Caenorhabditis elegans: one gene and its partners. The protein of the gene in region 2 interacts with the protein of the main gene of each other region in a pairwise test. Each region holds a gene or a part of one and is shown on either strand. Other genes may lie near its edges.

The links.
Region 1: the proteins of sta-1 (region 2) and nadk-1 interact in a two-hybrid assay, tested with the Caenorhabditis elegans proteins (one large-scale study listed by BioGRID).
Region 3: the proteins of sta-1 (region 2) and col-80 interact in a two-hybrid assay, tested with the Caenorhabditis elegans proteins (one large-scale study listed by BioGRID).
Region 4: the proteins of sta-1 (region 2) and lpd-5 interact in a two-hybrid assay, tested with the Caenorhabditis elegans proteins (one large-scale study listed by BioGRID).

What each region holds. Positions count from the first base shown.
Region 1 is NC_003282.8:1,453,721-1,461,562, forward strand, and holds nadk-1 (NAD(+) kinase), read left to right. Parts: upstream 1-3,354; 5' UTR 3,355-3,363; coding exon 3,364-3,459; intron 3,460-3,506; coding exon 3,507-3,595; intron 3,596-4,502; coding exon 4,503-5,221; intron 5,222-5,434; coding exon 5,435-5,643; 3' UTR 5,644-5,801; downstream 5,802-7,842. Other genes in the region: col-106 (Nematode cuticle collagen N-terminal domain-containing protein), read right to left, coding at 6,176-7,066.
Region 2 is NC_003282.8:16,661,080-16,672,285, reverse strand, and holds sta-1 (Signal transducer and activator of transcription 1), read right to left. Parts: upstream 7,967-11,206; 5' UTR 7,965-7,966; coding exon 7,656-7,964; intron 7,560-7,655; exon of another isoform or gene 7,539-7,559; intron 7,284-7,538; exon of another isoform or gene 7,263-7,283; intron 7,180-7,262; exon of another isoform or gene 7,159-7,179; intron 7,077-7,158; exon of another isoform or gene 7,060-7,076; coding exon 6,715-7,059; intron 6,702-6,714; exon of another isoform or gene 6,681-6,701; intron 6,519-6,680; exon of another isoform or gene 6,498-6,518; intron 6,323-6,497; coding exon 6,195-6,322; intron 6,072-6,194; exon of another isoform or gene 6,051-6,071; intron 6,031-6,050; coding exon 5,793-6,030; intron 5,765-5,792; exon of another isoform or gene 5,744-5,764; intron 5,625-5,743; exon of another isoform or gene 5,604-5,624; intron 5,418-5,603; coding exon 4,771-5,417; coding exon of another isoform or gene 4,734-4,770; intron 4,624-4,733; exon of another isoform or gene 4,603-4,623; intron 4,558-4,602; exon of another isoform or gene 4,537-4,557; intron 4,356-4,536; exon of another isoform or gene 4,335-4,355; intron 4,298-4,334; exon of another isoform or gene 4,277-4,297; intron 4,082-4,276; exon of another isoform or gene 4,060-4,081; intron 3,872-4,059; and 27 more. UniProt on the Caenorhabditis elegans protein: Carries out a dual function: signal transduction and activation of transcription. Activated STAT proteins play a role in repression of dauer formation.
Region 3 is NC_003280.10:10,705,664-10,708,787, forward strand, and holds col-80 (Putative cuticle collagen 80), read left to right. Parts: upstream 1-1,537; 5' UTR 1,538-1,558; coding exon 1,559-1,696; intron 1,697-1,743; coding exon 1,744-2,559; 3' UTR 2,560-2,624; downstream 2,625-3,124. Other genes in the region: col-39 (Cuticle collagen 39), read left to right, coding at 1-297. UniProt on the Caenorhabditis elegans protein: Nematode cuticles are composed largely of collagen-like proteins. The cuticle functions both as an exoskeleton and as a barrier to protect the worm from its environment.
Region 4 is NC_003279.8:4,370,211-4,376,313, reverse strand, and holds lpd-5 (NADH dehydrogenase [ubiquinone] iron-sulfur protein 4, mitochondrial), read left to right. Parts: upstream 1-3,295; coding exon 3,296-3,445; intron 3,446-3,547; coding exon 3,548-3,744; intron 3,745-3,790; coding exon 3,791-3,974; 3' UTR 3,975-4,059; downstream 4,060-6,103. Other genes in the region: cec-10 (Chromo domain-containing protein), read right to left, coding at 1,878-2,063, 2,110-2,451, 2,501-2,650; ZK973.9 (SS18 N-terminal domain-containing protein), read left to right, coding at 4,203-4,298, 4,902-5,415, 5,620-5,711; pdp-1 (PPM-type phosphatase domain-containing protein), read right to left, coding at 6,041-6,103.

The DNA of each region.
Region 1 (7,842 bases), about 15 Mb from region 2:
CGCAGTTCTTCTTGATGCAATTCACCTTTTCGAAATCGTTTTTTTTTGTTGATAATTTAGTATTTTCCTTTAATTCTTAATTCCCAGAGCTAAAGCTTCCATGGTACGCAGGCGCGGTCTCAGGACCTGACGCCTGCCTGAAAAATGCTTTGCCTCTTTTCTGCCTCTTGGAGTGAGTTTTCAAATAGCAAACTTTCTGATTTCTATCATTATTGTTTTGAAAATCAAATTGTGAAAGGAAAAAAAAATTTAGGTATGTTTTAGCATAAGGCGCGTATTGAGGCGAGAGTCAGGCGGAGATCCGCCTTAAGGCCAGACAGGTAGGCGTTTTAACGCCTACACAGAAGACCTATCAAGAGCCTTTTCGGTGGATGCACCATGTTTTACAATTTATTCAATTTATTTTGTAGTTCCATCCCAAAAATTTAAATTATTTGGTTGAAATTAATTGTATTAACCGAATTTGACAAATTCGAACTCAAATTCCATATTCATTCAACTCGAAAAATTGTATGTTAGATCTTATAGACCACAAAATAACAACTTTTTAACTATTTTGTATTTCTCTCTAAACATCAGACAAGATGTGCCCAAAAAAGTGACAGTAGTCAATTAGTGCTTGTTTTGTAGTTTGTAGTCAGCCACGTGTCATTCACGTGTATTTTGGTCGTTCTAAACAAGACGCGGTCATAAAAATGTGTACAGTGATAACGATGATGACAACATCAGGTGAGACCGGGGGTTTGGCAAAAGGACACATCATTTAAATAAATATATGTACTGTGTTGGAACCGGTGGGATTATTGTGGACAATAAATAGATAAATGAGCAAATATTATTGTTTTGAGCAAGGTGACCACCGGAAGAAGGGTCACATGGCAAAACGACGTGGAGTTAAATGTATTTTTAGATGGCTTGAAAGAATTTCAAAAACTTCTATATGTAAATAGTTGAATTTTAAATATTTTCAAAATTAACTTTGCTGCAAGTCATGGTGCATCGACCAGAAAAACCTCGCTTAGCATTAATTTCGCTTGCCTGTGGTCTGATCAAAATTTTGTCAACTAACCAAATATCAAGCATTTTTCTAGTTAGAAGTTTTTCAATATCTTCGAAAATAGCAGAGATATAGGCTCCTGTGGTTGATTTGCAAAGCATGGTGCATCGATATCTCAGTTGTCTAGGGGGTTATCATAATTTTGTCAACTACTAAAATATTTTTCAAATCTTTTTCTGTAACATTGCAGTTAAACTTTTCTTGTTGTATTTTAAAGTAGCAAAGATATAAGCCCTCAAAGCTGTTCAGTTTTGTGTGGTCACAATGTATTACAATATCACAATGATCACTTCCATAAAGCCCTGCTGAAGCCCAGGGCACAAAATTTAGAAGGGTCAGGTCGCAATCTAGCCATTTGTCATCATGGCTACGCGCACACTCACACTGTGTCTCTTTGTGTCTCGGCGGTGTGCATGTGCCTTTAAATACCCCCTTTTGAATCATTCACGCGTTCTTTGGTTCTTTGGTTCTCAAGAAGAGCGGAGAGCAATCGCGTAATTTGTGCAGCCTTTTTGATAAGACTTCTTCATGAGTTACTAGATTTAAAACTCGAATTTTTACTATTTTCTTAATAAAAAACTCCGAATTTCCCCCATTCTCACCCATTTCTCTAGTCGGACACAAAATTTTGTGGTCTCCCGTGCTCTATAGTTTTTGGTCATTGGTCACATCGTATGTTTCGAAATCATCGCCGCTGTTTTTGTTTTGAAAATTGATTTTCAACGAATTCTCTTTGGTTCTCCCAGCATAGAAAACGGTCATTTTTCTTTTTTTTTAATTGCCGAAGAAAAAAATATAATGGAATCAGTGGAGGCGCAGACTGTTAGAAAGCATTTGCACTGTTTATTGAACGGTTTGGCGCCCGTTACTCAGTGGAAGTGAGTGGTATCAAAAAATGCGTTCGGTTGCATTTATAGTTTTATGAGATGAATATTTTGTAATTTAACAATTTTGTGATAAATTTACTTTTCGACGAGGTATAGAGGTTTTAGCACAAGCTGAATCCCGCAGCCTTTTAAAATCAAATTCTCATAACGTATTTTTACTTTTAACTCCTTTTAACTCCTTCGAAGTAAAAGTTATTCAACAGTTGTTAACTTGAGCATGTAGTGTTTTTTTAAGGCGGCTATAACTCAGCGGAGGTTAATGCTATGAAAAAGATGAAAATTACAAAAATGTTCAGTTTTATGTGGTAAATAATCTTTTAATGAACAATTTTGCGACAAATCAACTATTCGACAAGATACGGAGGGTGCTAGCTTCAGCCATTGGCACCCTACTTCTCACCACTAAACCTTTATGCTCCTGTAACTCAGCGGAGGGTAGTTTTATGAAAAAGTTCACAATTACAAAAATGTTCAGTTTTATGTGGTAAATAATTTGTTAGTTAACAATTTTAGGATAAATTTATTCTCCGAGGAGATACAAGGGCAGAAATTTCAGTAGCTCTCTTCATCGGCTCCCTTGCCGCTTCACCACCAAACTTTAGGCGCCTGTAACTAAACGGAGGTTACTGTTATGAAAAAGTTGCAAATTACAAAAATGTACAGTTTTATGTGATAAATAAATTGCTAGTTTAACAGTTTTTTGATAAATCCACTTTCCAACAAATTACAACGATTTCTAGTCTTCGACACTACTGCTCACCCTTCACCACTGAACCTCCAGGCGTCTGTAACTCCGCGGAGGTGAACTCCATTAAAAAGTTGCCAACTACGAAAATACGCAACTTTTAAAGTTCTATATTTTATTAGTTGGCATATTTTTGATAACTCCTCTACTCGTAGAGATATCACAGCTTAAACTTATACTCCTTATACTCCAGCCGATCAAAACACCATTTTTTCCAAAAAATTCCATCATGGCGTCAAGTATCATTTCAACACCATTTATTTACTTTGTGTCAATTCTCAATTCTCAACTTTCAATTTCTCCTCAAAAATCAAACATTGCGAGCACATCTGAGCACGAGGGGAACAAACCACCACCTCCCACACAATTTCTATTGTTGTAGCCTACCGGAACGGTGGGCGGCGCCCAGACGTTCGGAAGGCGGAGCCCCGTTTATTTATAAATCGGGAAAAATTTTTGAAATTTTGAAATTTTGGAAATTTGAAAATAATGGTGCCATTTGTGTTGATTTTTTGGCGAATTCTCGAATGACTTTTCGTGTGTGATGAGGCGGCTGAAAAAAAAACTAACTGATAAGCTTTTCTATCATATTTTAACCTTTTCTCTCTCTCTTTTTTGATTCCATTAAATATCCATTTCCAATTTCTAATAATTTATAATTCCAGCCGTCCATCATGGCCGCTTTGGCAATTTCTCACTGCGTGAGCCACGTGGCGCGCCCAGTTTCTCCGGTAACACAAGGAAAACCGAGCGGAAGCAGACAGCAGCCGGTGAGCCAAATTTCGATTTTAAGCCTTGTTTTGGAGCAAATTTTTAGGCGATCCGGTTTGCGTTGATCCTTCGAAAGAGCACACGATGGCAATGGGAGAAGGAGCAGACGGGCTTGAGCGATGCTGATCTGAAAAAGTGAGTTTTACAACCAAAGCTGCTCGTCGATGCATCACGTTTTGCATCTCCACTTTGAAAGCTCATATCTTTGTTCATTTTTAAGATACTATAGGCACATAGCTAAAAATAATTTTATTAGTTGACAGTTTTCTTTTAAAACCAAATACAACGAGATAAAAACTGTGGAAGCTGGTTCTAGTCATTGCACCATGTCTCACGCCATTTCTAAAGCTTGTAACTTTGTTCATCTTTTAGATACTAAAAAATTGAAACTGCAATAATGTATGTCCATGTCTTCCTCCACATTCAGAGTCCATATCTTTGTTCATTTTATAGGTAGTAAAAAGTAAAAAATTTTTAACTACAAAACTGTAGAAAATCAAATATTTAAATATTTTGTCAGAAAGCAACTTTTCGATAAACCCAAAGCCAAATGAGATATAAGCTATCAAAGCTGGTTCCGGTCGATGCACCATGTCTCAAGCCACTTCTAAAGCTTGTAGCTTTGTTCATCTTTTAGGTACTCAAACAATTGTTATTACAAAATAGTAGAAAAACATATATTTCATATTTCGCCTGTGAGCAACTTTTTGATAACGCTAAAACAGACAGAGATATGAGCTACCAAAGAAGATAATTTTCGGTCGATGCACCATGTCTTAAAGTTCATATTCAATAGGTTGTTTCCTGAATTTAATTTTAATAACATTAACACTATATAAAATATGTATAAGGTGTCCGGTCGATGCACCATGTTTTGCTTCACCTATATCCTATCATACAGAAATTTGGAAAATTATATTTAGGCTAAAAACCGAAACTGTGTATTTTTCCCATGGTGTCTGCAATTGACAAAAGTCTACTGACCTCATTTGAATGTAAAAATGTCTATCAGGCTATATTCCCAGCTACTAAATCTTTTCAGGCACCTCTCCTCAAAAGGCACCAAGGTTCAAGAGCTCCTCGAAAACGAGAAGAAACAAGTAAACGCAGTGCAGGAAATTGTCTCCGAACTTGGCAAAGCAGGCATCTCCACAAAAGTTGTGACTCGCGAGCAGCTAGCCCAGTACCTGCCTGAAGCTGATCTGGTGATCTCTGCCGGTGGTGATGGAACCTTCTTGGCTGCAGCTTCCGTGGTCAACGACAACACCCCAATCATCGGTATCAACACTGACCCGATCGGAAGTGAAGGACACCTGTGTGTCGGTGGCAAGAATCCACCTCGCGATTTGATCGAGCGTCTGGTCTCTGGAAACTTGAAGTGGGTGCAGAGGACGAGGATACGGGTAACAGTAAAGGAATCCCGGAACTCGATTTTCTCATTGAAGAGGTCTGAAAAATCAACAAACCTCGCCCTGAACGAGGTGTTCATCGGAGAGGATGAAGCCGCCAAAGTCTCAACCTACAATATTTCCATCGACGATTCGCAGACAGTCAAGCAAAAGTCCTCCGGGTTGATTGTGTCGACTGGGACCGGATCGACGAGTTGGTACCTCGGAATGAACAGGATCGATGAGAATGCGACGACGTCAGTGTTGGAGGCACTGCAATCACTTGGCGTGGATGTGCCGATCACAAGGAATTTGGTGGAGAAGGTGGTGAATTCGGTGAATGAGAAGATCCCGTTCGAGCCAGATCATCCTAGTGAGTTTTTTGAAAGTTGATTGGAATTTGGGTTTGTTGAGTTGGAAACAAAATGTCAGGGGTATTTTTGATTACACAATTCCAAATATAAGACCCTGCACAGACATGGAAAAGGACTGAGAAAAGGACCCCATGGCTGGCCTCATCGTCAGGCTTCAGAAAACTCAAATTTGAGAATTTCTCATTATCTCACTTTCACTTTTAACTTTCCAGGTTTCGCCTTCTCAATCCGTGAGCCGATCTTCAACGCCACCTACAAACGCACGGCGACCCGCGGATTCGCCAGAAAGATCAAACTCGAATCCCGATGCACCAACGGATACCTGGTCCTTGACGGATCCACAAAGATCCCGTTCCCACGTGGCGCCGTCGCCACGATCGAGGTCAATCCGAATGATGCTTTGAAAACTGTGATTGTGTAACAATGATTTTGTGTGTATTGTTTTTATTGTACGGGTTTTCGGGTTGTCGTTTTTTTTGTGAATTATGAATTCGTAATTGTACATAGATTTTATACGATTTTATGTGATACATCAATTTGAAATTTGAAATTAAAAAAAAATAAATTCATTACTTTTTCATAACTGTATAAAATGGTCTCAAAAATGTGCTTCAAATGCACATTTTCTCAAAATTTCAGAGATCCATCGTTGCGAGATCCTTTGTCGTGGTGAGACCCCCCGTGGTGAGATCCCCGCAGTGCGATCTATCGTGGCGAGACCTATCGTAGCGGGACCCATCGAGGCCAGACCCTCCGTGGTGAGACCCATTGCAGTGAGACCCTTCGTGGTAAGACCCATTGTGGCGAGACTCCCTGTGCTGAGACCTCGTTCAGTGCTGATAATCTGATATGAAAAATCTGAAACCATACAAGCTGAAGTCATTTCGCAACCCCAGAAACTAAAAAAACCACAAAAACCATTTGAAATGCGACATTCTTTATTAAAAAGCTCTCTAATGAGTCTTGTAGATCTGCTCTGCCTGCGATGGCGCTGCCTCGACAGCCACCGATCTCGTTGGGCATGGACAGTAGGCAGCGTCTCCACCTGGCGCGGCATCCTCTCCCGGTGCTCCATCGGATCCATCGACTCCAGGAACTCCGTGTTGTCCTGGTGCTCCTCCGGCGCCTGGAATTCCATCGGCTCCCTGCTTTCCGTTCTTTCCATTGGCTCCCGGTGGTCCAGGTGGTCCACGACGTCCACTGTTTCCTGGATGTCCTGCTGATCCTGGAAGGTAGGTTTGTCCCTTGGCTCCCGGTGGTCCTCGTGGTCCGGCTCTTCCAGGCTTTCCTTGATGTCCTTGTGGTCCGGTCTCTCCTGGTCCTCCTGGGGATCCTGGTGCTCCATTCTGTCCGTCTTCTCCTGGGGCGCCATCGGTTCCCGGCTCTCCTGCACAACCATCTGGCCCTGGTGGTCCAGCTGGTCCTGCTGGGCAAGAGATGCAAGCTCCTCCAAAATTCTCCTTGATTGCCGCAGCATATCCAGGATGTCCATCAGGTCCATCAAGCCCATCTGGTCCGTCAAGTCCTGGAGCACCATTTGGTCCACGTGGTCCAGGTGGTCCTGCTGGGCATCCCTTGCTCTTGGCTCCACAGTTACACTGAGCGTTTCTCTTATTTCTTCCGAATAGCATGGCGGTCACAGCGGCACGGGAAGCTTCAGGGGCTCCGTTCTTGCGGAGCAGCTCCTCCCAGGCGTCATCAGCAACCTCACGAGTTGTTCGGGACTCTTCCATCACGTCGTTGTAAAGCCCATTGATGTCGGAAACGATAAGGCACATCGTTGCCAAGGATCCGATTGTGAGGACCGTAGCGGAAGCACATGCTAATGTCCCGAAGGCGCCCATCTGAAATGAAATGGTAAGGAATCAAAAATTGTACTGAATCAAAGTTAATTGTTTGCGAGGAAAAGTAAAAGTCGGAAAGTTTTGCCAATTCCATTCTTATCAGGTGCCATTATATACTAACCCCCAGAAGTTCCGCCTCTTTACTGCGAATCCATGATAAGAACCGGTTTCAAGACGGTTTCCATGGGGAACCTATACGCAAAAAATGTCTTGCTGTAACCGTGATAAGAGAACAGAAAGAGAAGGGGAAGTTGGATTGATTGGAACAAATTTCATTGTTAGCGAATAGAAGAATTTTTCAATTTTTCATTGGGCATTTGTATAACACGCAGAAATTTAAAATTAGTTTACTTAGTTCTGGAAACTTCATGGATCTCTAAAATCCAAGGCAATCTACTCATGGTGCATCGACTTCCTCGTTTTCTGGTGGTCATGGTGCACTGAAGTGAGCTCCAGATGGGGATGCACTAGGGTTTGGAATCCCCGAAGCATCCGACACCTTTCGGGTCATTATACAGCGCGTGATGGATCCAGGGATATGTCGGCCGTTTTATGTGTCCGGAATAATTGTGGCCGCTTAATTCATGGAGGTGCCTGGCACTTTATGCTTCGATATCTCTAAAGGGTTTGCAGCAGACAACTGCCGGGATTGTTTAACATCTTTAAGGACTAAGCAGCTGACACCTTGCGGGTTTTGATAGAACGGCATCTCTGGTGCTAGTAGCGGCCGACACTTAAAGGGTCTATAGCAAACGGTTGGCCTCTCCTGAGATCAC
Region 2 (11,206 bases):
GTTTCAACAGGTTTTTATTCACAATACATTTGAGCTACTAATGCTTTCGTGATTTTGTCGTTTACAGCTTTGCCTAGAATGTTTGAAAATTTAATTAGATATTTAATTCAATCAATTCACATGCATTTATAGAAATTTCTTATTCAAAATTAAAAGTTTTATAAAACTACATTTTCTTTGAGTTTTTAATAACAGTTGTATATTTTTGTATGTGTTTGAATGCGTTCAACTCACAATATCTTTGAGAAAATAACTGAAATCTAAAATCGACTGATAGAGAGTTCTTCAACATTTTGAAAATAAACTTGAAGAGTCTTGAATTTTTTTAATAATTATCCAAAACTTCAGCAATTTTATACAGTACATATATGATTTTCATTCAAAACTGACAATAGTTTTCATTACTTTTTTTTAAATCTCCATGCTGCAAAACGTAAATGATATGAAAATATTTTAGAGCAGAGAACTGAAATTGATCCCCGGGGCTTGATTTGCCATTTACAGATATTTGAAAAAGTTATTGAACATGTCATGTTTTCTGTTATGTTTGTCTGAAAATTCAGTTTTCCTTTAGTGAGAAGACAATAGTTCTATTCTATTTTCTTTCATCTCAATTCCACGACTTCTCCAGTTTCATCTCCTACAGTTTAAATTATGATCGTGCTCTTGATCCCCATCGATATTTAGAAATTGCATTTACTGATAACATTTTCCTGAAACAGTAAAATTAATTTTTTTTTTTTGGTTAGAATCACGTGCTTATATGAAACTTTCTAGCTTCCTGTCTCCATCGTGGAACAGATCAAAACATTCGATTTACAGTAAAATAATTTATTGGATGAGATCAGAAATCACTTGTGATTATTAATATTATTTTCAGTAAATATTGTCAAAATAATATTAGATTATCAAAGAATTGAGGAAGATGGACAGCACGAAAGAAGCAAAGATATGAATACTAAACTGGAGACAGAGAAATTCAAAAAGAGGTAATTGGGGGGACTGTTTTAACATTTAAATAGTGTTTTATGAGGGATAAAATTGATTGTGGTGCTGTTGCATCATTCCCTGTTGGGACATATCCACAAAATGAAGGTTATGCTGATGATTTCCATCGTGTGGATTGTAGTTTGTGATATTATTCTTGAATGCTGGTCCCAATAGAGTTTCTACATCTCCCGACATATCCGAGACTGTTAGGATTTGACCAAGTTCGTCGGACCTGGAAAAAACAGTGGAATTAGCATTGGAGCGCATTTTGTAATTTTTGGAAATTTCTTTATCGAATGTCACTTTAGATGAGATGTCATTAGTTTGATAACGGCCACTGAGAAAGCGACTTCTCGCCGCGTTCGTGGTGTAATGGTCAGCATGGATGCCTTCCAAGCATTCGACGGGGGTTCGATTCCCCCCGAACGCATAAACTTTTTGAACACATCACTCACATCTCCATCATATGATTCTGATGAACCTCCCCGGGTGACCAATCCAATTTGCTTTGAACCGACAACGGTGACGGAGAATCTGCACCAAACATGGACGGTGCATTGGACATTCGTCTGAAATTCCTAAAATAAACCGAATTTCTAAACTTTCCATCTGTAACCTACCCATTTGTTTTTGCAACCATGACAATTTCACTTTGAATATATCCAGTTGGACTGTCACCACCGCCCACGCGATGACGCTCCTCGGACTCGAAGAAACGCAGCATTTCTTCTTTATCGATTGCCGGGTACATGTATCTGAAATTTAGAGGTTTTTATTTCATGTTTCAAAATTTGTAAGTTAAGAGGAACGCTGTTAGTTATGTGTTGCTACCTTAATTAACTCGGTTGAAATAAAAAATTTTTCACTGTTTCAAGAATTTGTGAGAAAAATTGTTGTTTTCTAATTTCAATTTCTATTGGTAGAAACATTTTCACATTTTACATGTCTACAATGTATTTTGAGAGATTACAGCTCAAGTCAATGTTTTGTCAAACCTTAAAAATTGGGTCTCGACTCTAAAATCTGCGACTTCTGGAAAAATTTAAATTTTTCAGAAACATGATTTACAAATAGACAATTTGAAACATTTTTTGTCATTTTTTGAAGAGGCATTGTCCGAATTCTAAGCCATGATCTTATCTCTTTTCAGTGAAACAGAAAAATATTTTCATTTTGCGTTTTTTTTTAATTCGTATTTTTAATAGGCTGGCGGTTATTTTTCAAAGTAAAATAAGAATTATAAACCGTTGCGAGACCTTGTTTTTTTTTCAAAAAAAAACTGAGTGATTCACTAATATTTTTGAATATTAGACTTTGAAAAATGAACAACTTGAAACATGCTTTGGCATTTTTCCAAAATAAATTGCTTTAAATTCATCAGGCTTTCTAAGTAGGCGCTAAGGCCTTGTTGAAGCTGTAGGTAGGCAAGTCGTTCTGCCTACATTGCTGCCTACCATTGTTTCAACTAAGCCGAAAATTTAAATGTAAGTGTTATTATTTCAATTAATTTAATGGCAAAGAAATGAAACACATTCTTCCCCTGGTAGAAGGCACACGTCAGGCGTAGCTTGCCTATAGTCAAACAGTAATTTTCGGCCCAACATAGCAGCCCTTACATCGATTGTATCTAATATTTTCAAACTTTCGACCAGATGTGAGATGTTTACTGATGTTAGAAATTAACCGATAATTTATCAACAACCTGAAACAGCATAATTTTTTTTTAATTCACTAATTTCAAAATTTGACTTTCTTGAAGAATTACACCGTAGGCAGACAGGCTAACTTTTTTGCCTTAGAATTTTTATAAAAACGATTAGTTTTTTGAGTTACTCCGTGCAGTTTTCACAATTTCCGGATTTTATTTTAGTAAAAATTCCACCCAGTTTCAGTTAGTTATTATTCACGAGCGCATGTTTCTGCATTCATTCTATTTTCACACCGTTATTATCCAATTTTAAAAAGTGTCATTTGTAACCCACTTTTGCCTATAACGAGAAAATTCAAAAAATTACAGTTGGAGTAAAAACGGAAAATAGGCGGTAGGCAAGTAGGTAGGCAGGCAGGAGGTGTCCAGTTATAGAAAGTGTTCATGTTAACATTTCATGTACTTTCATGATGTTTACTAATTGGATCCAAAAAATATTTTTAAAAAATATATCAGAAAAATGGGACTGATGTTTTTAATAATTATTCAATGAAACAGTAGAAAAATGAAATATTTGGAAATGAAACTTTTTGTTCAAAACTGCTGTGCTGACAGTTCTTATAATAAATTATTAAAAATCACAGTATCGAGATGGTGATGAGACCTAAAAAGTACGGAGAAAAGTGTATTTAACAATTATACAATTGATGCCATTTTCAATATCGTTCAATGAAAAAAACCATATAAAATTATTTAGTGAAACAATAGAAAAAAAAAAAATTTTTTTAAATTCCTGTATTTTATTTAAATTGGCAATTTTAACTTTCATTTGAATATTTTTGTAAAATGATCACAGTTTCAAAAGATTTAGATCAAATTATAATGATGCATTTGTTGTAATAAGTATTTCGGAATTGCAACATTAACAAAAGAAGGGACAACTTTTATAATTCTTAAGTGAAACAGTTGAAGTTTTTTTTCAAATTTTTGTTAATTTTGTTCAAAATAACTGCTGACATAATTTATATCCACGTTCAGAAATATTATCAAAAGTGCTTCAGCCTGAACGGTGAAATCATAAATCACATAATTTCCAGCCGGGCCGCAGAAAATAGGTGGTAGGTAGGTAAGCACAAGGCAAGAAGGTGTATTTCTTAGTACTGATGTGAATGTGAAAAATGTGAACATTATTTATATATATTTTTCAGGGTGATTCACAAAGATTAGAAATATCAAACGATTGCAATTGAAGCTATTTATGATTATTCAATGAAACAGTAGAAAATTTGAACTTTTTCTCAAATTTTTCCAATTTCTTAACCACATAAAAAATATTTGTTTTGTTTAAATGTGCCAGTTTTCATAGCAAAATTTTGAAATTCAAAGGTTTCAAAACGTGGTAAGACCCGAAAATTGTTGTTATGAAAGAGAATGCAATAAGAATGCAATAACTTCAAACCAAATGATAAAAGTATTTAGTGAAACAGTATAATTTTTTTTCATTTTTTCAATTTTCTTCACACTTATTTTTTACTGTAACTGAACAAACTTAACATCTTGTTAAGTTTTCACTCCTAAAATTAACTTTTATTTACCCTTTTTTTTTATTTGGCACTTCTGACTTTAATTTTAACATTTTTTGTTTAAATTGATCACTGATTGAAAAGAGTTTAATCAAATTATAATAATTAGAAAAGATGAAGGAGTATTTTCTTAACATTAAAAAAAGAAGGAACAACTTATATAATTCTTAAGTGAAACAGTTGAAGTTTTTTTTTTTTTGGACGGTGAGAACATAGATCACATAATTTCCCGCCAGGGCGCAGAAAATAGGCGGTAGGCAGGTACGTAGGCAGGTACGATACTTACGTCCCAGTAATCGCGTGAAAATTCAATTCACTTTCGTGGTTACAGAAATATCAAACTATTGCAATTGAGGCTATTTATGATTCTTCAATGAAAAAGTAGTATTTTTGAACTTTTTATTTTTTGTCCAATTTCTTAACCACATAAAATATTTAGTGAAACAGTATAATTTTTTTCATTTTTCCAATTTTTTTTAAACATTTCCATTTTTGACCGTAACTAAGCATACTTAACAACATGGTAAACTTTTCGCGTCTAAAACTAACCGAATATCCTTCAATTGTGGACATGAAGCAATACGACTTGCCAGTGACAATTGATCCAAATCCTTAATAGTAAAAGGTGCCAAATGAAATGGAATCTTTTGTCCATCAGCCTCTTCACAAACAAAACCAATCGATACAGCACCAGTTTGACTGTCAGAGAATCTCAATAAAAATGAAGAGTGCTGACACATCATCATACTTTGAGACGCATCATTTTTTGAAATAAATCCAATGCACCATCCCTCATCCCAGAATTTGAGCAGTTTTTGTTTGATTAATTGCATTATTGAGAAAAACCATTCCCAAAATGAGAATGGTAAGTCATCTCTCATTGCCTGTTTTGCGAATCGATGAAATGTGATTGGCTTCTGATCTGCCACATTTGGCATTAACATTTTCTCACTTAAATATGCCAAATCTGAATCTGAAAGTGGACGACGTGCTCCCGTGAATAAGGAGAACTTGTTTCGAAGCATTATTGCTAGATTGTCCCATGTCACAGCTGTCACATCAGTTGTATTTGGATTTCTGCTGATTGAGGCGAATGCGCGGTGCCAGAGAATTGCAACTTGCGCGTCACAGTCTTGAGATCCGTGTACTGTAACCATTATTGGAAGAGAAAGTGTCCAAACGTCGAATTGTTCTTCCTGTTAAATTTTAATTGATAGAAATTGGAGGACATATTAAATTTTGAAAATTAAGAGTAGCTGAAACAGTGAAAATTCTCAAGTTTCTTTACACTTTTTTGAATATAGAATTACTGCTTTTACTAATCCAGTTAGAAAATTTCAGTAATTCAAAGTGAAAACCGAAAGAAATGTTGGAAATGTTTGGTTCAACCATTGTTCGTTTATCAGACTCAAATTTTGAAATAAATTTTAAACTTTTTGTTGAAACAGTGAAAAAATAAAAAATAAATGTTTTGCTGTTTCACGTTGTTTTTAAAAGATTTTGCATTTGAGTTTGAGTTACTGACTACGTTCAAAAAAAATCAAGTCATAATTGAAATATCAACAACTTACTTTGCTCAAATTACCCATTTGAAAAGGTGTAATAAAGAATAAAAGAGCATATTTCTGATCAGTAGCTGCCTGCATACTTGCTGCACATTTCAAGTCAGATGCTCCTTTTGGGGGCGGTTTTCTGTGTGCAATTCTTGTCAATTTTGAATTATTGAATTTTGCCGCCAAGTGTCCTCTTTCATTCATTGTGAGCTTCTCGAAATCATTGGAAATTGTGCCAACTGTCTTGTTGTTACGGCTGAAAAATATTAGTGTTGAATATAGTGATACAACTACAAATTAACCACAAAAAATAAGAAAAGTATATAAAAATAATACGAAAAAGTATAAGTTTTAGAAAAAAAAATTTTCTCAATTTTTCAAAAATTTACTGTTTCAAATTTTTCATTAAAAAAAACTCACATTTCCTTATGTGCATCATAGTCAACACTCAACTGCTTGGCTTCATCTTCTGCTATAATTTTCACTGAAACATTTGTGTTCACCAGGTGTTGACGAATTCCCAGCTTATCGCCAATGAGAAGACGGACCTGGAAATTTTAGTTTTTTTTTGTAATTTTATTGAAAAATCAGGATTCTGAAATTGCTGCGTCCCACAGCGGAAACTACAGTAACCCGTAAAATTAGGTGGGGTGGAACTGTAGTTTTTGTGGTGGGACCCAGAAATTTTCAAGCTGAACAAATGCGTGGCACACATTATATTCGAATTGAACTTCTTAAATAAAATTGTTGAGTATGACTTACATATTTATTTGAATGACTTTTGAAACGGTAAAGTTTTAATTAAAATTTTTGAATTTTTTTTTATTGTTTCTTATAATTTGCTTGAATTCTAACTAAGTTGGGTCTCGTCACGACGGTGTGGTTTTCGCGGCGGGACCCACCAAAATTTGACATGTATAATTTCCATTAAAAAACAAACCTCAGTGACAAATTTATGTTGAGTCTTCAAAACAGGTTCCGGTTGAACGGAAACAATAAAACTCTGTGAAACCAGCATAAAAAGTAATTTGTTCAATTGTTCTGTAATTGCAGTCAACTTTCCAATTGTTGCCTGAGCGAGCCCATCATTTAACTGTGGAGCACGTCGGAGCAAGTCGAGCATCCAACACGAGAACATGTTAAGCTGCCAGTTTTGATCAGCGAGAAATTCGAATTCAATTTGAATTTCATCAAGCAGCTGTTCGCGATTATCGAAAGGCATTCCGATTTGGGCAAGTTTTTGGGCATTTTTCCAGGAGAACAGCTTTTCGCCAATTAGTTGGGTCTGGAAATGAAGATTGATTAAAATATTGCAACGCATAGAAAATTTGATTAAACTGTGAAACAGTATTTTTTTAAAAATATTTCTCTTTAAAAAAAATTGTCAAATTTTATGCAAAATCAATGTAAAAGGAAAAAAAAGATTAAATTTGATAAAAGTGTGAAACTGTAAATATTATAACTAACTTTTTTTCAGATAAGAGAGCTAGATTGCAGGCCAGTTTTAAAGTATGACATTTTCGCGCGTTCAATATATGAAATGCATGGGAAACATTAAATTTTTAATTAATTTTTGTATTTCAGTTCATTTTTGATGTAATTTCATATTAAAAGATTTCTTAATGCTTTTTTTAAACAAAACATTCACTTGAAACATTAAAAGAATAAAAATATTTTTAGCATGAATTTACTGAACATGCAAAATTCTTCAAAATTTGAAGGATTTTTCAAAAAAGTAAATCTTGTATTAGAGTTTTTTAATGGAAATGGTCTTCGACAGTCAAGTAAAGTAAAAAATTTTAATTCATATTTCACAAAACTTTGAAACAGTAAAATTTTTTTTATGTTTTTTTCATATTTTTTCACATTAGAAGAACCAACCTGTAGCATCGTCGCAAAATTGGTGCCATCATTAAGTTTAATGACAATATCATTTCTTTTCTGTGTCAAATGCTCATAAAGTGTGGCTGCTCTTTTCTGTAACTCTGTCATTTGCTGTTTCACAGTGAATACATTTTCTAGTCTCTGTTGCTGTTCCAGCTGTGCAATGACCATTTGCAGACGTTGAAGCTCGCCGAGTTCATTCACAAATCTGCCTTGGAGGTCCTTATTCTCTTCCCACAAGTGATGGCAGGTCTTTGAGACGTCGGTTAGAGCTGTTTGAAGCTCTTGCGACGATGAGCCCATCATGTCTGGAAATTTCAGATTTTTAATGAAGGGAATGGGAAGACAAGGAGGTAATAAAAAGGAAACGTTTTCAAAGAAAAATTTGTGAAAAAAAATTGGTTAAAAATTTTTTTACAGTTTCAAGAATTTTATTTCATTTTCAGTGTATTTTCAGAATCGACGTATACTTTAAAAAATTTTTTACTGTTTCAAATAAGTGATTAAATTTTGAAAGATTTTGTTAATTTCAATTTGATTTTTCACTGTTTCTGAAAACTTTCAATGTAGCATATTCGCTTGACAAAACATATTCATTTTCATCAATAATTATGAAAAAAAAAAAGAAAATATGTACGTGCAATGCAAGAAAAAATTGCGAAAACTTTCAATTTGTGCGAGTTGTTGAAAGAGCCGTGGCTCTGCACAAGAACTCGAAGGAAAAAACTAATGAGAAGTTGTTGGCTCAAAAAAGCGGAAAATGGGCAAGAGATGCAGAGAGCAGAAACACTTGGAAATGTATAAGAGCTCCAGGAGCACACACACACACGGGAGAGAGTATCAAAGAGAGCACAGAGACGCAGACAGTGTTACACACCGCTAGACGCAGAGACTTGTGTGTTTTCACACCACTTTTCCCCTGTCTCAGCTGATATCTGTGATGATTGGGGGGACGGAAAAAAATGGAGATATTATTGAGGGATTAGAGAAAAATATGTTTTTTTTTTCAAAAAAAAAATCGTTCAAATTAATTTTGAAACAGTAGTGGTTTTTTCAAGTTATTATAAAATGAGCTGAACATGAACATTTAAGGTTCTACTTGTATTACCCAACCGTGAAATTTTGCGCGAAAATTACTGTATCGGGTCTCGACGCGACAAATTACTGTTCAAATGTTCTAAAAATGTTCGAAAGTATGTATGTTTTTGTGGTTTTTATTCAAATATTTTTTATTGGAAAACAATTTGAAAAATCTGGAAAATTTTCAAATTTTGGGTGAACGACGATTTGACGGAAATTTTGGAAAATTTTAACATTTTTCCACTGTTTCAAGTTGTCTTTAAAAATACCAACATTTTATTTATACGTTGCTAGATTTATTCCAGTTTTTTATTCTGAGTGTATGAAGTTCTATTATTATTTCTCACTACTGTTCTAGCATTTTGAGGATTATAAAATGTGGTGTTGAAACCGAAAATTTAGTTTTTTTTAATTTTTTTTCGGCCAAGCTGAAATAATTTTGCGTGTTTTAAAATTGGCTTAGAGTCTGGAAATTTTATAACAATCTGACAAGTAATCTGAATATACCGGGAAAAAGAAATTGAAAAAAAAATTATACTGGGGCTATTTCTATATGGAACCTTAAAGATTTCAAACTTGAGAAGAAAACAATACTGTTTCAGATTACTGATATTGTCTGAATGTATAAAATGGGGTAATACAGTGTTGAAAATGAAGGTAGTATAATATTTTAGAAAACATATATATTGTTTCAGATTGCTTACATATGAATCGAATAATGTTTCTCAATATTTAAATTTTTTTCAAGTTTAATGCTGCTATTGTCGGAAAGCAAAAATTGTCAAACATTACTTCGAAGTTCGATTTCACTAGTTAGTGAGCTGAAGTTTCGTTTTTTGTTCAAACTAGGTAATTAATAGAGCTTATAAGACTTACAAGTTCAAATTTTTAGAAAAAATGTATCTTGTTTCAGATAAGTCAAGTATCAATGGCAATTTTTAATTGAAATAACACAAAAGGCACAGCAAAATTTACAGAAAGTTGGATGAAAAGTTTACTGTTTCAGGTTACTCATATTCAATATGGAAAATGAATTGTTATCGATTATCCTTCTGTATTACATCCTAATAAGGGTCATTTACAGTTAGATATAAATTGAAATTTTTCTATCAATTATTTCGTTTTACAGAGCATTCCAACTTGGAAAATGTGCTTATGTTTCATGGTCATGAGAAATAAAAAATTTACTGTTTCTAACTGGTTTTTAATATTTTCAAATTGTTTTTTTTTTTGCTTTAAATTAATACAGAATCTTTACTCGTTTTAAATTAGCGAAATTTTGACTGTTTCAACAAGTTATTAAATTTTAAACTCGTTTTGCATATTTTGATCGGGTTATTGATTTACCACTATCGACAAATAGATTCTGATACTAAAATCAGGAATTTCAGAGAGAATTCCCAGCTAACAATTAGTGGAGGACAGAAATGCAGTTTTCATTTTCAGATTGACTTTTCTCTTACTAAAGTGTTAAAACTTTAAGTTTTAGAAAATTGGACAAAAAAAATTGACTGTTTCAGATTGTTAATGTTAATCGAATAAATTCTCGGCCGTGCTGTGACTTCTTTTCATGTTAAGAATTCATTTTTCAATTTTGTAACACTTCGAAGAAGTATTTTGTTTCAAATTAGAAACATATAAATTGGTATTCCAAAGACATAAATTTACGTTTTTCGGTGGCTAATAGTAAGACAGGCTGGGATGTGTCCTAATATCACGTTTTCAAAATATGGAAATTCATGGAATACGTGAAACAGTACATTTTTTGTTCAGTAAACTAAAATTTTAAATTCGGCAAAGAAATTCCATGTAGGCGTCAAAACGTCTGCCTGCCTGACCTTAAGGTGGCCTACGCCTGCCTCTTGCCTCAACCTGCACCTTATGCTGAAACATATGAAAACTCTTTTTTTTTTAATTTCTTAATTTGATTTTCAAAAAAATTGAATCAAACCAAAACGCATGAAATAGGTAAAAGGCCGGCGTTAGGCGAGCAGGTTTCAGGCAGGCACTGAAACTGCGCCTGCCTGGAAGCCCTGACGTACACGTAGAAAAAGGCAAGTGAATCATCTCGAACCTCGATTTTTTTCTGAGTTTTTGAAAAATCAGCTAATGTTTCAAGGTCCTGAGAAAATACATGGGGTTTAGTAATTTTTCGTTTTTTTCTGCAGCAAAGAATCACAAGAATCATGTTTTTTATTTTTTGTGAAAATTCGAAATTTTTTACTGTTTCTAAATAGCATTCTATATTTTTAAAATTTGCTTCAAATTAATAAGAACTGGCTTCTGTGTGGAATTTAACAATATACAATTTGTGGAAGTAATTGTAAATTTTTACGGTTTCAGCAAGTTTTCATAAATGAAACTCGTTTTACATATTTTGATACTTGACGGGACCAATTAAACTACAGGTATGCCTTCCAGCCTCTATATTGGCTGAATTTTGGGCCTAAAGGCAGGCAGTAGGCAGT
Region 3 (3,124 bases), on a different chromosome or scaffold from region 2:
TCTGGAGGTCAAGGACAACAAGGACCAGCAGGACCAGCCGGACCAGACGGACAACCAGGACAGCCAGGTCAAGATGGACAAGCCGGAGCACCAGGAAACGATGGAGCCCCAGGAGCCGATGCTGCTTACTGCCCATGCCCATCCCGCAGTGGATCTTCCTCAGCAGTTGAAACTGGAGCTGCCGAGCAGGGATACCGTCACCGTGCTGTTGCTGCTCGCCACCGCAACGTCATTCGTCGCCGTGTCGCCAAGAAGCGCGTCGTCAAGAAGAAGCGTGTTGTTGCCCGTCAAGCTTAAATGACCATTCACCTATCAACTCATTTAATGATTGAAATTCGAATAAAACAGTTTTCTATATTTTTTCTGAACTTCGCAAGATAGCAAAACGGTTTGATTTAATGATCTTCTTACTAAAAATGAGAAGAATGAAAGAGATAATAAAGAAAATCGGAAAGGTAAAAACAACTGCCAAGGTCACTAACTTTCTATTTCTTTGCATCCATCCAACTTGAGAAAAAGGGAGTGGAAAGAGAAAAGGAGTAAATCGGAATAAAATGAACAAAGAAAGTGTTACATTTTAGATTGAATCGGACTAGAAAAAAAGAAGAAAGAGATGGAAGTTTACTGCAAAACGAAGAAGGAAATGCCTCTATTGTGAATGCAACTTTTGAATAATAGAGCAAGAGAGCAAAATAAGCCACGTGGGGGAGCTAATGAATAGGAACGGAACTAGACTTTTCAAAAGAAACTTTTTCTGTGTATTGACCGATTGACCAAACTCTGTGGGAATATCTGGGGGATAGGGACTTTCAGAAAAAAAAATCAGAAATGCCTTCATCAAAAATCTAGTGAGTTCACTGTTTTTGATACTAGGTGCTAGATGTTTTGCTCTATGCAGATTTGAGGTTTCATAAACTTCATTCTGTACATCAAACGTATAAATCGTGGAATCGTGGCGAGACCCACTCGGAAAAAGCATGTCCCTTTAAACTGACATGTCAAAATTTAACAAAATTACGATATCATTCGAAGCTTCTAAAAAATCGGAGACGCGCAAAACGGAAATTTGCGATTTTGCATATCAATCTTCTAATTAGCTGAAAAATTTCCTAAAATCTACAATTTCTTCTGCCAGACTGAAGTTAAACCTTGATAACATTTGCCCGTAATCGTCAATTACGGTTTATTTCTGCAGAAGAACCAACGAGATACCGATCATGAGTCTCTCGTCGTGGTCATCGTCACGAAGCAATGAACTGATCGAAAAACGGACACAACACCCAAAAAGTACTTTTTCGGTTAGTAAAAAGTTATTGAGAATGGCAAAAGTTACTTCCTCCTGTTCGGTAAAAAATGTCTGGGTTTCCACGAAACGCATGCCAACTTGTTAGCAACATCACAAAGCAGTTACACAACACCTCTGGATCGCTTTCTCTCGTCGCTTCGAAAGTGTACACTCTATCTAATCAGAAGACAAAACCGAAAAACAGTTTCACGTAGTTTACCGGTATAAAAGGGCTAGTTGCTTACTGTCAAACCACAGCAGTCGTTTGCGAGGATGTCGACAACCTTCCTTTCGGTAATGGCCGGTTTATCCGGTATTGTGGTCTTCGGAGCTCTTATCTCCGTTTTCCACATCTACACCGACATCAACTCCTTCGTTGATGAGGCTCATCGTGAGCTCGGAGCTTTCAGAGTAAGTACCATAAAAATACTTTGTTTCAAAAGCATTCATTTTTCTAGGGAGTTGCTAATGATGCCTGGAACTCGATGGTTAATCATGATGATTCTGCCCGTGTTGCCCGTAGCGTCTTCGTTCGTCGCCAAAAAAAACAATCCCAATGCAACTGCGGACCACAAGCCTCCAACTGCCCAGCCGGACCACCAGGACCACCAGGAGCTTCTGGAGACAGAGGACTTGACGGACAACCAGGACCAGCCGGAAAGCCAGGACAACCAGGAGTTGCTGGACCAGCTCACCACCAACAGCAAGAGTGCATCAAGTGCCCACAAGGAGCACCAGGACCAGCCGGAGCACCAGGAAACCCAGGACCACAAGGACCAAACGGAAACCCAGGAGCACCAGCCCACGGAGGAGGCCAAGGACCACCAGGACCACCAGGACCAGCTGGAGACGCTGGATCTCCAGGACAAGCCGGAGCCCCAGGAAACCCAGGACGCCCAGGACAATCTGGACAGCGTTCCCGCGGACTCCCAGGACCATCCGGACGTCCAGGACCACAAGGACCACCAGGAGCCCCAGGACAACCAGGAAGCGGAAGCACTCCAGGACCAGCCGGACCACCAGGACCACCAGGACCAAACGGACAACCAGGACACCCAGGACAAGACGGACAACCAGGAGCCCCAGGAAACGATGGAGCCCCAGGATCTGACGCCGCTTATTGTCCATGCCCAGCTCGCAGTGCCGCAGTTTTCCGTCACCGTAATGTTGCTGTCAACCGTCACCGTGCTGTTGCCAAGAAGCGCGTTGTCGCCAAGAAGCGTGTTGTCGCCAGAAAGCGCGTCGTTGCTGCCAGACGTCACGTTCAAGCATAAAGCAATATATCCTACCAAAGTAGAAATTCCTGATAGATTTTTGTCGAATAAACTCATTTTCATTATCTGTAATTTGATCTTGCAACACGAGCCCTTTCAAATAATCGTCGATTTCTTATTTCCCTTTCACTCATCACTTTCGCTAAGCAAATCGAACGCGGCGCATGGTTTTTTTTAGTATTCTGGTGTCAGCGGCGGCACGGACATTGATGAAAAGATAGGAGAAGATAATCAAGTCGTCGCATATCTGAATTATCGCTATCACCTCGACGCGTTCATAAAAACTCTGCGAATCGAGAACGGTAAGATGCAGGTCAAGAAAACCGCAGAAAAAGCAGTCCCGGTGTGGTCGAAGGAGGAGGAGGAATCATGAAAAAGCAACGAGTGGGATCTCGAGATAACCGCTATTTTATCCACAACGCTACTCCGTCGTTAGCCGCTCGTCTCTCAAATTCAGCGATCCTTATCCAGACATCCTTCTGACACCTTTCTGACATTCATATAGACTGCGGTGACTGGACCCTAAGATCTATAGACTAAAACCACCCAATCCGGTCTTGTAGGT
Region 4 (6,103 bases), on a different chromosome or scaffold from region 2:
GTCTAAATAAACCAATGAAAATTTAAAAAAAACCGTTAATTTTGGCGAGTTATCCATTATGACTCCTAATTTGAATTACCGCGCTTTGTCTCAAACCCACGCCCATTTTTCCGTGCCGCATTTAGATTTTTATCAAGTTTAAAAAAAAGGTATTCTGACTATAACAAAATCAATTATTTTTAAAATATTTAAAATAATGTTTATTCGTGATTCCCGCAAGTTCCAGCGCCGTGTGCTGAATTCTGTATGGAAATTCGAAAATTTCGTTACTTTTGTTTACAGAACTCAGCACACAACGAAAAAACTTGTGGAAATCATGGAGAACAATTATTTTAAGTATTTTATACAAAGAGTGAATATTTTTTTAGCCATAAAATCTCTTTTCCACTTCAAAATTAAAAGCAAAACGAAGAATTTGAGGCGATATTTTTAAAAATCGAAATGCGGCATGGAAAAATGAGATTAATGAGTATCTATAGATATAGCTATGCAACGCGATCCACGATTTGCATCATAACATGAAAAATATCCATTATTGAAACTAACATATCGATGACTAAGAAAAAAGAGGAAGGAGGGTGTGAATTTCTTCTTTTTTCACCCTCTCGAAAAAATTTGATGTCACGGAGAGGACAAAGAAAAATCTATCATTTCTTTTTTTTCTGGTTCCGGGTCACTACACTCGAAATAATAAAACTGCGTGGAGTGTACTGCAGAAAACCTCATAATTAGACCCCGCCTTTTTATCGTCCACTCGGAAAAGGCAAAATTCGAGGACCAACCAATATCAGGCCGCCGACATCTCATGGGTTCCGCGCGCCGCTATGTTTAACTCGTTGTGGGTGTGGCAAGCTGTCTCCGCCCGCTGCGAGTTAAACATAGCGGCGCGCGGAACCCATGAGATGTCGGCGGCCTGATATTGGTTGGTCCCCGAATTTTGCCTTTTCCCCGTGAGTGGACGAAAAAAGGCGGGGCCTAAATATTAGGTTTTCTGCAGTACACGCCACGCAGTTTTATTATTTTGAGTGTATGTATAAATTAGACTTTCGTATGAAATGAAGAGCAGGTGGACGTTATGAACGAAAAGTGAAAATTTTATGTATGAAGAAGCAAAAAAGATTTTATTGAATGAGAAGAGGATAAGGTAAGTGCGTTGCCATGTGGATGACACACGTGCAGCTCGGAATCCACGTGAAAGTTCACGGGTTTTTGAGTTTTTTTTTCTTATTGACCAAATAGAATTTCGTACTGTTAAAATTAAACGATCGATCTGTAAATTTTGCGAAAATTCGGATCGCACAGAAAAAGAGGCAGATCCTAATTTTGCAACTCTCAGGCACGATTTTTCCTAAATTTATTCGCTATTTCCACTACAAAAGCGCGGAAAAAAGAACCGATACCCGTAATAGAAAGCTTTTCGTTGAGATTTATCCAAAAAAAAAGTGAAAGGAATCAGGCTCGATGGAGCGGAGCACGAGGGTTTTCTAATCAGGCCTGTGTTATAATTAAAAGCGCGAATGACAAACGAAAGAGAATGAATATGATGCATAATCCGCCCGAAAAGTATGAAAAGTGGCGGGTTGCAGATTATGATCAAATATTATTACTTTGATCTACAAACGTTAAAGATTGTAAAATTAATGAAATACTCGTTTTTAATTTTTAAACCTAGAAATTTTCGGTAAATTCGACAAAAAAATTAGAAAAAAACTAATTTCTACTGTAGTAAATATTTTTTCTGGAGAAGAGAAGAAATATAATTTTTCCTCTCCCAATTCGTGAAGATTTTGATATTTTATTCTGGGAATTGGGCTTTTTTTTTTCAATAATTTGACGTTTAAAACTCGCTATAGGGGGTTGTTTTCAATTTTTCACACCTCGGCCTCTTTCTTCTTTCCCCCACGCGGTTTCTTTTGCTTCTTCTCTTTTTCAACTGGAACTGGAGACCGGTTTCTGACCGATGGCGATGAATCGGCGCTACTCATCTCTATAGTACGACGAATATCTCGAGTTTTACTACGAGACACACGGCCTTCGATTCCAACGCCATAGGTTTTTAGGAACTGAAAAACGATTTTGGTTTTAGAAAATTTAAGAACAATTTCGTACTTTTTCAGATGGATCTTGCAATCTATTCGGATCAGCCAGCCTTTTGGCTTCTCCTTGCGCAGATTCATCCGGCTTCTCGTATATATCATCGTCAATATCTTTTGTAATCCATGTTTGCTGCTTCTTCGGTCTCCCTTTCTTATTTGCTACAGTTGCCTTATTAGTGACATCTTCAAATCGTTTAGGATGCTCTGTTTGGAATCTTTGTATCTCCAAATTTTCATATCCACCATGAAAATTTTCTATAGGCTCCCAAGATGTCGATTTATCAGCTTGCCATAAAACGAGAAACTCGACTCTTTTCAATTTTCCATTGTACCGCATTTCTTGTACTTTTTCGACCTGAAAAAAAGTTGAATGTATTTCTGTTTCAGTCAAATTGCAGTATTACCACCCAGTGATCCTCGTCTATTTCTTCTTCTTCTTCATCTTCTTCGTCTTCCTCACCTCCTTGTTCATCTTCTTCTGATTCTTCCAATGTTTGAACCGAGCTTTCCTCTTCAGTGTCTACGTTGACTTGGGTCTCGCTGGAGCTTGACATTCTGAAAACTAAAACAAGTGTTGTGAAAGCGGTAATTTAAGAGTGGTTACAAGTGTAAAAACTGACAATTTTCATGAAGTTTATTATCCAAGAACATTAAAAGGTGGTTGAGGTCAGAAGAACAGCTCACAAGAGAATTAGAAAGGATATTACAACGGGAGACAAAGGGTGAAGAATGTACTTAGACTGTAAGGCAATCATTGTGATAAATATTAAAAGTGACATGAGTCACAAGAAGGGAATGGTATGTGTTCTCGTACAAGCACTAGCTGTCAAAAAAATCAAAACACAATGGGGTCTCGTGAATTATGAGAAATTCTATTAGGAAATACTTTTAAATTGATTAATTAAATGTAAAAGAACAATCTGTATGGTTTAAATTGAATTATAGTTTTATTGAATTATAGTTTTAGACCTAAAATTATGAACGAATTAAAAAATGAATTCAGCTCAAAAAACATCTGATTTACGATAAACAACACGCGGTACCGTTATACCGGAGTGTCGTTGAAAACGCGAACATTTTTTTTATTTTCATATTTTTTCCTCTCAATTTATTGATTTTAATTAAATATTCTTTTCTATTTTTTCTAATCCGTCACAGTATTGTAATTTTAAATTATTTATTAATGGAGTAATTTACAGATGCTTCGTGCTGGAGCCTCTCGTTGCCTTTCGGCGGGAAACACGGCTTTCCGTTGCCTCTCGACTGGAAAGGACAACCTACCGGTCACAAGATCGCATGATGCCAAAAAGGTTGAGCTCAACGATATTCTTGACAAACCGTCTCAAAAAGTAAGATTTAAATGTTGATTTTTCCTGTTTTAATACACGAAATTCAGCGAATTGCACTTAAATTGTTTATACTTGACATTTTTATTGAAATAAATATTTCAGACTCCAGTAAAAGTATCATCCGATGAGACAATGGATATCGGAGGTGTTCCACTTGATCACCAAGATGCCCGTACCGCTCGCATCTTCCGTCCAGCAAGAGAGACTACACAAAGTGCTTGGGGTAATACCAAGTCCTGGACCATTGAGCTGGATAATCGTCAAAGATGGGAAAATCCATTGATGGGATGGTCTGGAACGTGAGTAGCATCTTAATGAAGTTTAAAGTTTAAAAAAAAAATTTAGTGCGGATCCACTCTCCAATGTTGGAATGGATCTCAAGTTTGCCACAAAAGAGGACGCTATCGCTTTCTGTGAAAAGAATCGCTGGGAGTTTGACGTCGAGGAGCCACATGAGCGCAAGATTAAGCCAAAGAATTACGGACAAAACTTCTCATGGAACAGAAGAACCAGAATTGGAACTAAGTAAATTTCTATTAAAAGACGAAGTAAACTGAACCGCTTCTATTTAGATTTTGTTTTTTTTTGTGTAGAAAATGAAGATTTATCTCGATATTGTACTGAAAACTATTATTGTATTGGTTTCTTGTTGGTTTCAAAAATATCCAACTTGTATTTTTTTAAAATTTGATTTCCCTGTTTATTTTCTATATTTCTTATAAATCACCAGATGTCAACGGCACATCTACCTCCAGCGATGCGAACAAATGTTCCAGATCAACAGTCAACTGTGCAGAAGTTACTCGATGAAAACTCAAGGCTGATCGATATTATACAGGAATATTTAAATCAGGTTTGTTTGTTTTTTTTTGCAAAAAAGGAGTACCTTAAAATACTCACTATTCCCAAATGCCGAAATACCACAAAAGAAAATCGTAAAAATTGCTAAGTATGAAAAAAAAGATGATTTTGGCGATTTTTCAACTGTTCCTCATTTGAATTACCGCACTATGGTCTATAAATACCGTCCATAGAACCGTGTCGCACTTTTCAATTTTGGCACAAATTTATCTTTTTTGTGTTGTTTTTCTAATTTTTAATAAAGAAATACGTCATAAATGTGCAAAATTGTTTTTAAAAAATCGTATCGATTTTGTTAAATTTCGCGGAACTCTATAGAGCTCTACAATAACAATGTTTTTTTTCTATTGAATAATTTTTAAATACAAAAAAAAAACGTTTATGACCTTTTTATTCATTAAAAATTAGAAAAAAACACAAAAAATTCTGCCTCAAAATTGAAGTGCGGAATGGCTCCATGGGCGGAGTTTAGAGACCATAGAGCGGTAATTCAAACGATTTTTCAGATTTAATGGAATTTTTTCGTTTTTTAAAAATTTATTTCGAAATTCGAGCACCGATTACTCCTCCTCTAATCATAAAAAAATCATTTCAGAGCCGTGCTGACGAAGCCATCAAACACCAACAACTTTTACATCGGAACTTGTTACATCTTTCAAATCTCGCAGACCCATTCCTTCTAAGCCAGCTGAAAGATGATGGTACCGCTGCTGCCGCTCTTCCAGATCCTAACCAACAACAGCCTCAACCCGGAGCTTCTGGTCCTCCGGCACCACATCTCCAACAACAACAACCACAACATTCACCACAACAAGGCCATCCACATCCTCAACAAGGACTTCCTGCCGCTCACCATCGTCAACAAATGATGCCACCACAGGCGGCACCAAGTCCAGGTGGTCCAATGCAGCCGCCTCACGGATTTGCTCCTCCGCCAATGGGTGGTGGTGTACCACCCGAGATGATGAATCATCAAGCTTATCAAGCACAAATGCGGCAGCAGCAACAACAGCCTAATGGACAAGCTCCGCCACCTGTGTATCCACCGTTTGGACAGCCAGCACCGCAGATGAGTGGACAGCGAATGCCTTATCCTTACCCGCCGCAAGGTAATTATTGTGGAAAAATACCTTATTTGAGTTAAAAAATTCCCAGAATTTCCCGAAAAAATAAAAATTGGTGAAAAAAAACTTCAGGGGAATTTTGGCCTTTTTGTACATTCTAAAAATAATTCTGAAATTTTTATATCCCAATCCAATCTCAAAGATTCTGCACCTCAAACTATAAATTCACTGAAATTTATTTTCTTTCAGGAATGCCTGGATATCCTGGAGGTCCACCACCACCACCACACGGATACGAAGGATATCCTCCACCAGGAGCCCAGCCAGGATACATGCGATAATCGACAGATCTCCAACTCCAAAATTTCACCAAATTGTCAAACATAACATCTCATTCCTTTGTCTCACTTTGATATGTACTAACTGAATCATTAAATTATTGTGATTGTATGTTTTTTTTTCGATGTGAGAAAAGAAAAGAATCATTGATCTTGAGCACCAATTAACAATAAATGCAACTATTATATACAAGAAAAGATACCTAGACAAAGACCGGGGAGACTCTTTGGCATAAAGTCGTCGTCTCTACAGAGGGGAGATTACAAAAATTAAAATAGGGATAATACCAGTAAAGACTATAAAAATGTGTGCATGGCATTAATTTTAAGAGTTATTCTTCATCGTCTTCGTGACCGTCGAGGAAGGTTTCATTGAAATGGATCACAATAACAGT